3 linked regions of the Cricetulus griseus genome follow. The protein of the gene in region 3 purifies or fractionates together with the protein of the main gene of each other region. This does not show direct contact. Links are inferred from orthologs where the notes say so. Each region holds a gene or a part of one and is shown on either strand. Other genes may lie near its edges.

Region 1 (4,414 bases), on a different chromosome or scaffold from region 3:
CCATGCCCCATGGAGTCACCGCCAACAAACTCAGTGCGACACCAAGCTAGATGGTGGGATTTCCTTGGTCAGTCTTCAGGAGCTGAGCTGGGTAGCAAATGATTATCTCCCCAAGGAAACTCCCACAACAGTATTCAAGACTAACTCAGAGTGTTTGCCACAGTAAAAATCACCAGGCTCCAGAAGGGCATAAAATAAGCTGGGACTAAATTTGGCTTTTAATTGTGAAACATTCTAATATAGTATTTGCTTTCTTCTTCAATGCTATTTCTCCCAAGGTTGCCTTACAATCCTCACTCAATAAACAATTCTTTTAAAAGCAAAGCTCCCATTTATTCTATCCAACTGTCCATTGGGACTTTACATGTTCACTTTGACTCCTATACTGCTCCATGCCCCATTTTTGGCTTACTTTTCTTCCTTTTATGAGCAATACAGTTGGACTGTTATATGGGCTCAAAAAAAGAGCAGTCTGTGTAAGCAAAGAAGGGAGGTGCTGCAGACTGAGGGCATCAGCAGGAGGAATGGAAGAGGGTCAGGCTGGGAAAGAGATTGGTTACTTATATGGCTACCAACCAAAAAACAAAGATGACAGAGCCAATCTTCACTATCAGAGAGGGGATTCCAAAAGTTAAAAAGGAGACATCGCAATGAAGCCCATTCAGTTTTGAGTACATCCTCTGCTCAGTTCAGGAAGGGCTCAGGAATAGTGACATCTGAACAGCAAGGCACACATTCATGGAGCCCTGGCTTTCGAATGTCACTTTCCCTGAACAGGACCAGGGCCCTTCACAGAAATGGCTCGTTTCAAGGTAAGTACAAGAAATTCAGCTGAGCTCAGAACGTGATGAGACAGTGGGGCAGAAGAGCCACCAGAGACCTCCCTCACCATCAGCTGAACTGTAGTTACAGGGACACAGAACAGTAGTAAATGATAACCCACTCCAACAGGGATGTCTGAGTGTACCTGAAGTTTTTCAAATGGCAGTTTAATGAAGAATGAAGTATTTGCAATCTTTGCATATCTCTACACTAAGTACTTAAAAATTACAACAGGGGAAAGTGTAGTTTACATGCAGAATTACAGGAATCATCTTAACTGAGAGTTCAGTGGCAGAGGCAACAGCAGTGTCATATGTGCAGATTCAGAATGGCCAGCCCACCCCCAAGAAGCCTGGCTCTAGGACTGGTACAGTAAGCGGCACTTGGGCACTTGGGAGCTAAGGAGCACCTCAAATCCCATGTATGTCAGTTAACCCCCTGGGCCCCAACTGCTTGATCAGTATTATTCTGAATACCTGCTCCCCTTCTGAGATCCTGGAATTTGGAGCAAGGTAGCACAGGCATTTGCCTATGTGACAAGTACATATAGGAACCCTGGGCATGGAGCCCGCAAAGAGCTTCCCATGATATCATTAAGAGAGGGGAAATTCGGTGTCCTGTGTCACTTCACTGGATCAGGGCCTCTTGGAAGCCTGCCTGGCTTTGCCCTTTGCTCTGTATCTTTTTCTGTGATAATCTTAACTGTGAGCATGACTATATACCAGGTACCAAGTCCTAGAAAATCATAAGCACAGGGACACTCAAACACCCAAGACATACTACAAATATGTGACACTTAACAAGATACATATCTGCAAGACTCCTTTCTAAGACATCTAAGCCAAAAAACTGGTGATATGAATCATAGATATATGGTTCCAGACTGGGCATTGCTCATCTAGCAATTCTCACTGAGCCTTAATTGCTAACACTAACATTAAGAATATGGGACTGGAGAGATGGCTCAGCAGATAAGAATGCTTGCTATGCAAACATGAGAACCTGGGTTTGGATCCCTAGTATCCATGTGTTTAAAAAAGAACAAAACCCAGAGAAAGGTATGGTGGTGTACGCTGTAATCCCAGCACTCAGAAGGCAGAGGCAGACAGATCTGAGTTTGAAGACAGCCTGGTCTACACAGGGAGTTCTAAGGCAGTCCGGACTACATAGCGAGACCCTGCAACACACACACACACACACACACACACACACACACACACACAACACACACACACGGGGGGGGGGAGGTAAGCACAGAGACAGAAGTATCACGTGAGCTTGCTGGCTGGATGGCTATCCACAAAACTGAGCTCGGGTTCAGTAACAGACCCTGTCAGAGGGAAAATAAGGCAGAGAGCAATGGAACAGAAAACCCAATGTTCAATGTCCTCTTCTGCCTCTGCACACACATACACACCCCTAAGAATGAGCATTCAATGTACATACATACACTTCTGCAGATCACTTTCAGATAGAAAAGACTACCCTCAACATCTATGGCCAAAGAATCATTCAAATAATTTCAAAAGAGACTGGCAAAATAGTTCAGTGGGTAAAACAGCTTGCCATGCAAGCCTGAAACCTAAGTCCAATCCCTAGATGGTAACAGACTCCTGAATGCAGTGTTCTGATCTCTGTGCATAGTGCCATTGCACACACTCACAATAGTAATACAATCTAACCATGGTGCCATTGCACACACTCACAATAGTAATACAATCTAACCATGGTGCCATTGCACACACTCACAATAATAATACAATCTAACCATGGTGCCATTGCACACACTCACAGTAATAATACAATCTAACCATGGTGCCATCACACACACTCAATAATAATACAATCTAACCATGGTGCCATTGCACACACTCACAGTAATAATACAATCTAACCATGGTGCCATCACACACACTCACAGTAATAATACAATCTAACCATGGTGCTATTGCACACACATGCGTACACACAATAATACAATCTAACTTAGAAGACACTAAATTACCGTTTGTGTGCTTCCTGTTTGCTTCGGCACTCTTCACAGTAGTATTTATATTCACTGCACAGAGTTTCTGTGTTACTAAAACCTCTGTGAAAAATGCAAATGAACTTGTTAGGTATACTTGAAAAATTCACTTAATATTCTATGCCAAAAGTAAATATTAAATTGCAAAAGAAATACTTCTACACAAACCTTAAGCAGTGAGTAATTGATGTGTTTTGTTCCACGTCAACAGAAAGGTCTAAAAAATCTTCATCTTTGCTGCTTATCTGTAAATACAGTAGTTATTTCAATTGCCAGGAACCACAGTTTCCAGCTGATAGGTTAAATGAATCTACCAACAGACTAAGCAATTCTTCCTCCTTACGCTCAAAAGACAACTACTTGGTCTGGAGTACCTAAAAGGCAGCGAACCAGTGTCCACCTGTCACATCTCCTGTATGGGAAGACATCAAAGTCCCCTAAGCATCTGACTGGCTGAGGCCAGGAAGAAGAGTTTCACAGCTTCCTGGGGCGGTGATGTGTGAAGTACACGGTATCACACTGTGGTTCTGAGAAGCACAGGCTGTCACCGGTGAGGCAGCATTTCACTTCTGAACATGCCCAGTGCAGTGAACTAGATCCTCATGTCAGAAGATCCATCCGGATGGGACTCACTGGGACGTGTGATAATGAACATGGAACACCATGTCCCTGATGCAGAATGACAACCGACATACAATGAAATTCACAGAGCACCCACATTTAAGGAGAAAAATGTAGAAAGGCAAGGCAAGGAATTCAGGTTAGAGTAACCTTCATAGAGCAGGGCAGAGCTGCAGCCTGCCCCAGTTAGCTCCTGCGGGCAGCTGGTTCCCCCTCGACACTCCCACTGCACTCACTGCACACTTACTCCTGATAGGATCTATGCAGGCCATCCCTGCCTCTGCTCTAACCCTGTCTGGACACTGTTGGGCGGTCTTTGTTCCTGCTAGGCATCTTGGGGGTCAGACTCCCAGCCTAACAACCATCTACCATTCTCCTCTCCCCTTCTTTCTGGCAGGGCTGCTTCTTAAATGTGGGTGAGACCAAAGAAAGAAGTGATGTACATTTACACACTCTGGAAAGAGCCCAGATTTCACCCCGCTAGCTTATAACGGCAGGAACATGATTACTTGTGAATATGCATACTGCTGGCTTAGTTTAAGGAAGTTCTCTGCAATACATACTGCAGGCCACAGAAGAACTTACTAGTAGAAAAACAGAGCCCACCCCTTAAGAGTTAATAACATGAATAAACATTCAAACACTTTGAACAGAATGGCTGATGTCACCACCTCCTTCAACTGTTTCTTCTCTATCCTCCCCCATCCAATACAAACCTGACTTCAAAGTCCTGGCAGAGCACTCCACAAGTCTCCCAGAGGCCTCTGGAGGTCCCAAATCTACCATATAAATCTCACCTATTACTACACTTCTCAACAAGTAACTATTTTGTTTCATTGAAGACTGAATCATATATAATGATGTCAGATCAAAGTCTATAATAATAAACATAAAAAACCCTGTCCAATTCCCTGACCATATCTACTATTCCAATGGGAATAGTAA
Region 2 (4,414 bases), on a different chromosome or scaffold from region 3:
AAGAGCATCAAATATGTGGTAATACTTGGAACTGAAAAGCCACTGTAATGGCTTAAATAAATACAATCTATTTGGCAACTTCTGTCTGCTACGTAAAAATCCCAATATATTTCTGAATAGGTACGTCAGACAGTTCAAGCTCCTGCCTGAATGGAACTGAAGACACATCAGAAACCCCAGTGGCAAACCTTGTGGCTTGTGATTCAGTTTTAGGTTCCAGGAATCCTAACCATGCCAAAGGTAATTGTAGAAGAAATTTCAAGAGCATGAGCTTAACCCTTAGCATTCCAAACGTTTGTCAAATGCACACAGAAGTTTAAGGTATAATGTAAGTAGTGTTAAGGCATGTCACCAAGTCATTCCATCTATGTGTAATTCTTTAGTGACCTGGAGAATGACTGAAATTCTGTATTTTATTTGAAATATGCATATAGCGGGCGTTGGTGGCACACGCCTTTAATCCCAGCACTCGTGAGGCAGAGGCAGGCGGATCTCTGTGAGTTTGAGGCCAGCCCAGTCTCCAGAGCGAGTTCCAGGACAGGCTCCAGAGCTACACAGAGAAACCCTGTCTCAAAAAACCAAAAAAACCAAACAAACCAAAAAAAAGCATATCAACAGCTGGGTATGGTGGCGCACACCTTTAATCTCAGCACTTGGGAGGCGAAGGCAGACAGATCTCTGTGAGTTCCAGGTCAGTCAGGGCTACACAGTAAGACCCCGCCTCAAAACAAAACAGAAATCACATCTCAAGTTACCAATATGCTTGTCTCCATCACAGAAATGACGTGTGTGCACATACACACATGTGCACAGGAGGCACACACCTGAGGAGACACTGTTTTGTGTCTTTATTTCTTGAAACAGGTTCTCTTGGAGCTCACTGACTGTCATCTAGACTAGCTGAGTGGTGAGTCCCTGGCATCCTTCTGTCTCCACTTCTGTGGGCTGGGATTCAAGACAACTGGCCATGCCTGGCTTTATGTGGGTGCTGGAAATCCCAAGTGACACTGTACCCACTGAGCCATCTCCCCAGTCACCATGCAGAGGGATTAAGGTATCTGTGTAGATGGCTGGTCATTCTCTGCACAAGTTCACAACTATGACCTTAAGGAAAAACAAGCTCAAATACTAACCTACAACATTTAAACTTGCATGATATGAGGTAAGGACTGCAGAGCAGATGAAAACCGATCAGCTCAACATGTAAACTAAGGCCCGCTACCCTTGAGTAAGAACAGAGCAACTCTTACAGGGGTCAACAGCTCAGGTGGGGTGCTACTTACTTCCTCATTAAACAGCTTGCTAGTTTCTTTTTTGATGGGGTCTATGAGCTGGACTTGGCCTGCGGAAAAGCCCACTAGGAGAGAGACACTTTCTGCTGTGGCTGTTAGGTGGTTGAAGTCATGACAGGTAGGCTGTGTTCCTTTGTATATCCTTTTATCTATTGGTTTACTCAAGTCAGCAGCCTGGAGGAGAAAGAAAAATAAATACAGTAAACAGCACATTGAGATGAGCAAGCTAAGTTCAACTATTTTATACTCCATTATGAACTTCAATTTTAAAAACAAAGTTATTTAAAATATTGCTTCAACTGTGACTTAAAATAACTCACTTCATATTTTATAAAAGCAATTTCACATATGTAGCCAACTAGATAGTCTATCTATAAAATATTCATTTGTGACTGTTGTTTCCACAATTTTTCGTCTTTCAAATATGTGTAACAAGGACTCCCCAGTTTCAGAAAGAAAACGTCTCTGATCCTAAATTCCATTTTTCCAAATGTCTTCCAAGAATTCTAATAGAGTAAGTCAGTGCATACACAACACAACTCAGGTATGTCTACAGTACCCGAGTACCCACTGCCCAGCTACCTAGAGCTAATGGTGCTCAAAATGTGTACAGACTGGCAGGCAGCAGCATCAACTGGAAACTCAAAATACAAATTCTCAAACCCCTTCCCAGACCCTGTGCATTAGAAATAACGGGAGTAACCCACAATCGCAGTTTTATAAGGCTCCCAGGTGATGGGGTGCCCCCGGATGCATCAAGATCTGAGAAGCTCTGCCGGGGGCTTCTCTCTCTGCTGCCGTCACCTCACTGCTTACAGCAACCCTGTAACATCCTACATCGAGAGCAGTCACTGTCCTGCCTGGCTAGTGCTGATCATAAGCAGATGGGGAGAAAACAGATTGGAAGCACTGTAAGGTCAATGTGTCTGCACGCCATACCCTTAAATCTTTTTTAACATTTATTGTGCGTGTGCACACAGAGGTGCCATAGGGAGCATACAGGTCAGTGCTCTAACTCCATGAGGAGGGTCATGCAGACTCAACTCAGGCCACTAGGTTTCCCTTTTTTCCAAGAAATGTCCCATGTAAGTGCAATAAACTAGGTTGTTTCTATTGAACGAAGGCAAGCCATATCCCCTATGTTTAAAAATCATAGGTGGAGGGCCTGTGAAAAAGCTCAGTAGGTACCAGTGCTTGTCAACAAGCCTAATGACCACACACGCACACTCCTACACAGACACACTTAAGTACATACAAAGGAAAAGATAAAACTGCAGGTGGAGACAACATCACTCCTATGCATGCCTCTCTCTCAGTCTGTTCTTTACTTCAGGCCCCAGTTCCCTGCTTCCGTCCAAAGGGACCTGTGGTACTTTATACGACTTAACTCTGTTTGCTTCTCAAGTAACAAATACTGAGTAGAAAAGAGGACTTCAAAATTGTGAGTGACTTTGAGCAAGCTAGAAACAGAGGGTTTCACAGCTAGTACCCGAGAGGGCTGTGTGGTCATGGGAGCCCAGCACAAAAGAGGCAGGCTACCCTCCCAGCTTTGCCTCCGTTAAAGCACAGCTGAGGTGCTCACCTTTAATCCCAGCACTTGAGAAACAAAGGCAGGCAAGATCCCTGAGTTCGAGGCCAGCCTGATCTATAGAGTGAGTGCCAGGATATGTATGCTCCAAAGCTGCACAGAGAAACCCTGTCTCGGAAAAAGAAAAAGAAAAAGATTCATGTCCTCAAATGGACAGAACTAGGGAAAAAAAAAATCCTGAGTGAGGTAACTCAGACCCAAAAAGACAAATATAATATGTATTGACTCATTAGACATAAAGCAAAGGATAACCCAGGATACAGTCCATAACCCCAGAGAGCCTAGGCAACACAGAGGACCCTCAGAGAGACATAGACATATCTGCCTAGTTAGGGGAGCATGAGAGGCATGGGGGCGGGGGGCGGGGGATAGTGGAAGAGGGAAGAGGAGTGGGGGGAAGTGTATAGCTCAATAAAAACAAGGTTAAAAAAAGAATTATGGCCAGGCATTTGTGGCGCACACCTTTAATCCCAGCACTCGGGAGGCAGAGGCAGGTGGATCTCTGTGAGTTCGAGGCCAGCCTGATTTCCAGAGCGAGTGCCAGGAAAGGCTCCAAAGCTACACAGAGAAACCCTGTCTCGAAAAACAAAACAAAACAAAAAAAAAATTCATTTTGGGCTGGAGAGATGGCTCAGAGGTTAAGAGCACCGACTGCTCTTCCAGAGGTCCCGAGTTCAATTCCCAGCAACCACAAGGTGGCTCACACCATCCATTATGAGATCTGGCGCCCTCTTCTGGTGTGCACATATACATGGAAGCAGAATGTAGTATACATAATAAATAAATAAAATCTTAAAAAAAAAAAATGTGTCCCATTGATTTCCAGCCTCAATAGAGTACCCACAATATCACAGACACTCAATATTTACTGAAGGAGCTATAGTTACTCTTGATTGTAGTCACTGTTCGGACAGCATACTAGTTCTGCACATGATGAGTTACTGATCACAAAATAAAGTGTCAGTGTATCCGTATACTCATTAGCTCAATTTAGTAAAAACCTTCAAGTAATGCTTTAAAAATACATACTTGCCAGGCACAGTGGTGATGCCAGAGCAGACAGAGATCTTAGCACTTGGGGAGCAGAGCAAGCTGACCAGAAATTCAAGGTTATCCTCAGTTATAAAGAGAGCTGGAGGTCAGCCTGGTAAAATGAGATCTTGTCACAAAATAACAACAAAATTCAAAGCTAGTGACTAACTTATGCCATTTGAGTCTGGTCTCAAACAACACAAAACCCAAATCCAAACCAACATCCCTCGATCCAGGCTAAGGCCAGAAATTCACAAATTCCAGGCTAGCCTGAGCTTTAGTGTGACACCCCATTTCAAAAAGAAACAAATGCAAATTTAAACCCCCAGCTCTGGTGTCCACACCCGAATTCTCAGCACTTGGAAGGCTGTGTCACTCAATCAAGACCAGTCAGGGCTCAACAGTGGGACCTGATCCCAGTTCTTAAAAAACCAAGAGGACTGGAGAGATGGCTCAGTTGTGAAGAGCACTGGCTGCTCTTCCAGAGGACCTGGGTTCAAGT
Region 3 (3,722 bases):
CTGATCTTCAGTCTCTAGATATTTAACAATTGCCTAAACATGTCTTCAGGTGACTTCAGAGGAGGCAAGTATGGTCTTCTTTGCTGTTTAAGCACTGAATATTCAAGGCCTATCACTTAACACTCAGAATACAAAATTACTGCCTACCATGAAAATGAGAATGTCTAAGAGCCAGGTCAAGGAAAGGTGACATAGCATTCATTCATTCATTTATTCATCTGTTTAGAAACTTCTCCTAGGAATTATATTCACACCTGTAACCCCAGTACTGGAGAGGCTGAGGCAAGAGATCCAAAATTGAAGCCAACCTGGGCTGCACGGCAAGACCCTGTCTCATTAAACCAAACCAAATGTTCTAACTTGGAGTGAAGAGCCCTCTTAATGATTGAATCACATCTCAAATGATACAGGTGGTAATAATATCTATCTATCTGTCTGTCTGTCTATCTATCTATCTATCTATCTATCTATCTATCTGTCTCTCTCAGATCTTGTATAGCCCAGGTTGACCTAAAACTGGGATGGTCTTGAACACCTGATCCCTTATTTCTACCTACTGAGTACTGGGACTACAGGTGTACAATACCACATCTTACATGTGGTGCTGGGGACTGGCCCCAGGCTTTCCTGTGTACTGTCAACTGAGCTACATCATACCCCATCCCTAAAATTATGTGTGAACTTCAAATCTTCCCTGTTCAAATTCTACAAAGGAATAACAAAGTTTTAGACCAAATTGACTAATTCAAGAGCTTGTACGAATGTTCTCCATTCTAGAATTAAATGGAACTTTCCCTAGATCACCATTTATCCAGATGTTTCAGGAAGAAAACCAAATTGAAGGTGTTTGTCTTAGACCAGTTTTGTCTCCAAAAATTGTTCAAGAGAAATATGCATTTTTCCTATTTTTGGAGGGGGTGATCTGTTGGTCTCATGAGGATTCCACTTTTGGGGGCTGGAGCACCTGCAGCCCTGGGTCATGGGAACATCCCTGAGCATTGGACTCCGGGGGCATTTTCTTCGTCTCCTGCCTAGAAGAGCTGGACAAGTCAATGGCCACATCTTCCAAGCTATCCTCGGGGTCCAGGCTTGTTTTATCTGGGCCTTTTTCAGGTCCATCCTGGCCCTTATTAGCACCCTCCTTGATGTGGTCAAAACCCCAGAGTCCTCCTAGCTTGTCTTCACTTTCTGGTTTCCTCATTCCTGCAGACTTTTTATGCATCCCTGGAAAATAAAATCAACAACAACAACAAAAATTGCTTTGTTTTGTTTTGAGGCAGGGTCTGTCTGTGCAGTTCCAACTGTCCTGGATCTTGCTATGTAGAACAGGCTGACCTCAAACTCACAGAGATCCACCTGCCTCTATCCCACGTACTCAGATCAAAGGCATGTGCCACCACACCAGGCTCAAAAAAATATCTTTAAATTCAGCAAGTAAATATATTCCTTTCTTACCACTATTATTTCTATCACTAGAATTTTCTTTGTCAGTGCTGGTCTAGAGCCTAGAGGAGAGCCACCATCATTGGGGTGGAGAAGACCCTATCCACCAGCTGTCACTCTTGCAAAATTGCTTTGTTGGGTCACACAGTAACTTTGCATTTGCTTGAATAACAAAGTGACCCTAGTTTAGCACTAAACTCACTTGCTTGTATGACTGAAGTCCCATGCCAGCAAGTACCCCTATTTGTGACATGGGCATTGGTTCTCCATCCCCACTTCTCTCTAATCTCTTTGGTCCTTAGGCAAAGTCCAGGCTGTTCTCAGTTCTCAGCACAGCACCTAGCCAGAAAGCTGTTTGCTGGACTTTCCCAACCTAAAATCCCACTATGACCCACCTAACTAATTTTCTGGTAGTGATCATCTTGTGACTCAAGCCTCTGAAATCTCAACTCTGAACCCCAACAGATCATCAAGGGTAAGCACCAGAAAGGGCTTGGCCCTACCAGTGAGGCACTACCCTAGGGCAGGTTTGTTAAATCAGGCCCAAGACCTGGCCTATTACTTCAGTGGTGCCAACAGAAGGGACTGCTCTAGATTGTCTCTGCTCTGCGTGGTCCTATAAACCTTGCACTCTAAACCATATAGTTTCTAAACTCTCTAGTAGCATTCACCACTTTGAAAGTATGTATCAAACACAAGGCAAGTCTCTCTATTTATAAGTTTTGAATACATATTGACCAATATGAGTAGCCTATGAGGACTATCCCACACACTGCCTCCACAGTTCCAAGGAAAATTAAGGCTAATTAAAGACAAATTAGAGTCCAGACTGGGCCTAAATCTGAGACCTCTCCTGCTTTGCTCTTGCAAATCTCCTGTAAGGTCCCCGCCCAACTCTCTGGCTTTGTTCTTAGCCTGGCTTACCCAGAAGCCAGGGCGCACAGGAGCCCTGCAGGCTATCCGCCGCCGAGTTGAGCAGAGAATCTGGCAGCGGAATGCAGTGGCGCACCATGGCCCCGTAGAGTCCATACTCAGCCATCACGCTGCTGCCTCCCCAGCGCTTCTCTCGCTTACGCCACTTGGCTCTCCGGTTCTGGAACCAGACCTGGTTAGAGGCAGAGGGGAGTCCGAGAGGCTCAAGGAGAGACACTATGAAAAGGGGTGCCTGGAGGGGCACGCGTGCGCTCCAGGACTCTGGGTCTACAAACAAAAGGCCTGTCCCCCACCCACAGGCCTGAAAGCAGCCCCCCAAACCTGCATGGACACAGCATCATGAGGATGAGACAGGAGTCGCTTCCTGTGAAATTTTCTAAGAAGCCAGGAAGCAAAAATAAAGAATGAAAAGGACCCTTTCCTGCAGGGTGTTTATGAAGGGGCGGCCCCCTGTGTTTCCTGATTTTTCTGTTTAGGAGGTCTGCAGGGGCAATGGCCCCTTCAAATCTCAGACTGATGGACTGCTGCTATTTCTCCTGAAGAAAAGTGCATTAATTTAAACAATACACGATAACCTGAAGCTTAGGGCAGCAAGTCACTGGCAACTCTTCCAACAGAGCACATCCGCCAGCACAAGAGAACTTTCAGGATGGATACCCTATGACACACTGGCAGCACCGTGTGGCACCTACTCAGGCTGGACGCATATGGTGATGTCTTTAAGAACTAAAGACGAGAGCTAAACATTTTTGCTGATATGTCTTCATGCAGTTTTCCAGTCCAGCATACAAATTGTGTGATTTTTTTTTTGAAACACCATTTTTCATTAATTTTGTGTGCATGAGTTTAGATGTTGGAGTGACACAGCACACATAATGATGCCAGAGAAAATTTACAAGAATTAGTGCTCTCCTCCCAAGTGGGTACCAGGGATCCAACTCAGGTGTAAATCATTTTGGTGGCAGGTGCCTTACCCCACTAGGCCATCTTGATGGCTCACAAATTGTGTACTATCTGAGGGTAGGTTAAAGAAAAGAGAAAGGACACCACTCCACACCTGTATTCGGTCTTCGGGGAGCTCTGTTTTCACAGCGAGCATTTCCCGGGCATACACGTCAGGGTAGTGAGCCTCACCAAATGCCTTCTCCAGTTCTTCCAGTTGATGGGCAGTGAAAACTGTCCTGTAGAGAGCCAGAAATACACATGAAATGTGCCAGAGATAAAACCCATTTACAAACCCACAAAACCATGTCTTTAGAATTGTGGAGATTTCCCTGTAGCCTCCTGGGAATTACAGGTCATCTTGAAAATGGCTATGTAGTGCTCACTACCCACCAGTAGAATGC

Evidence for each region.
Region 1: the proteins of Vsx1 (region 3) and Usp12 purify together in Homo sapiens (affinity purification with mass spectrometry; 3 studies listed by BioGRID and IntAct, counting the BioPlex papers as one, with this or other methods). This does not show direct contact. The link is inferred for Cricetulus griseus from reciprocal best matches to the Homo sapiens genes VSX1 and USP12.
Region 2: the proteins of Vsx1 (region 3) and Wdr20 purify together in Homo sapiens (affinity purification with mass spectrometry; 3 studies listed by BioGRID and IntAct, with this or other methods). This does not show direct contact. The link is inferred for Cricetulus griseus from reciprocal best matches to the Homo sapiens genes VSX1 and WDR20.

The regions. Positions count from the first base shown.
Region 1 is NC_048597.1:82,584,716-82,589,129, forward strand, and holds part of Usp12 (ubiquitin carboxyl-terminal hydrolase 12), read right to left. Parts: intron 3,094-4,414; coding exon 3,017-3,093; intron 2,912-3,016; coding exon 2,828-2,911; intron 1-2,827. UniProt on the Homo sapiens protein: Deubiquitinating enzyme that plays various roles in the regulation of the immune response and inflammation.
Region 2 is NC_048598.1:183,239,138-183,243,551, forward strand, and holds part of Wdr20 (WD repeat-containing protein 20), read right to left. Parts: intron 1,467-4,414; coding exon 1,284-1,466; intron 1-1,283. UniProt on the Homo sapiens protein: Regulator of deubiquitinating complexes. Activates deubiquitinating activity of complexes containing USP12. Anchors at the base of the ubiquitin-contacting loop of USP12 and remotely modulates the catalytic center of the enzyme.
Region 3 is NC_048599.1:29,003,251-29,006,972, reverse strand, and holds the end of Vsx1 (visual system homeobox 1), read right to left. Parts: intron 3,558-3,722; coding exon 3,434-3,557; intron 2,549-3,433; coding exon 2,368-2,548; intron 1,225-2,367; coding exon 932-1,224; downstream 1-931. UniProt on the Homo sapiens protein: Binds to the 37-bp core of the locus control region (LCR) of the red/green visual pigment gene cluster. May regulate the activity of the LCR and the cone opsin genes at earlier stages of development. Dispensable in early retinal development.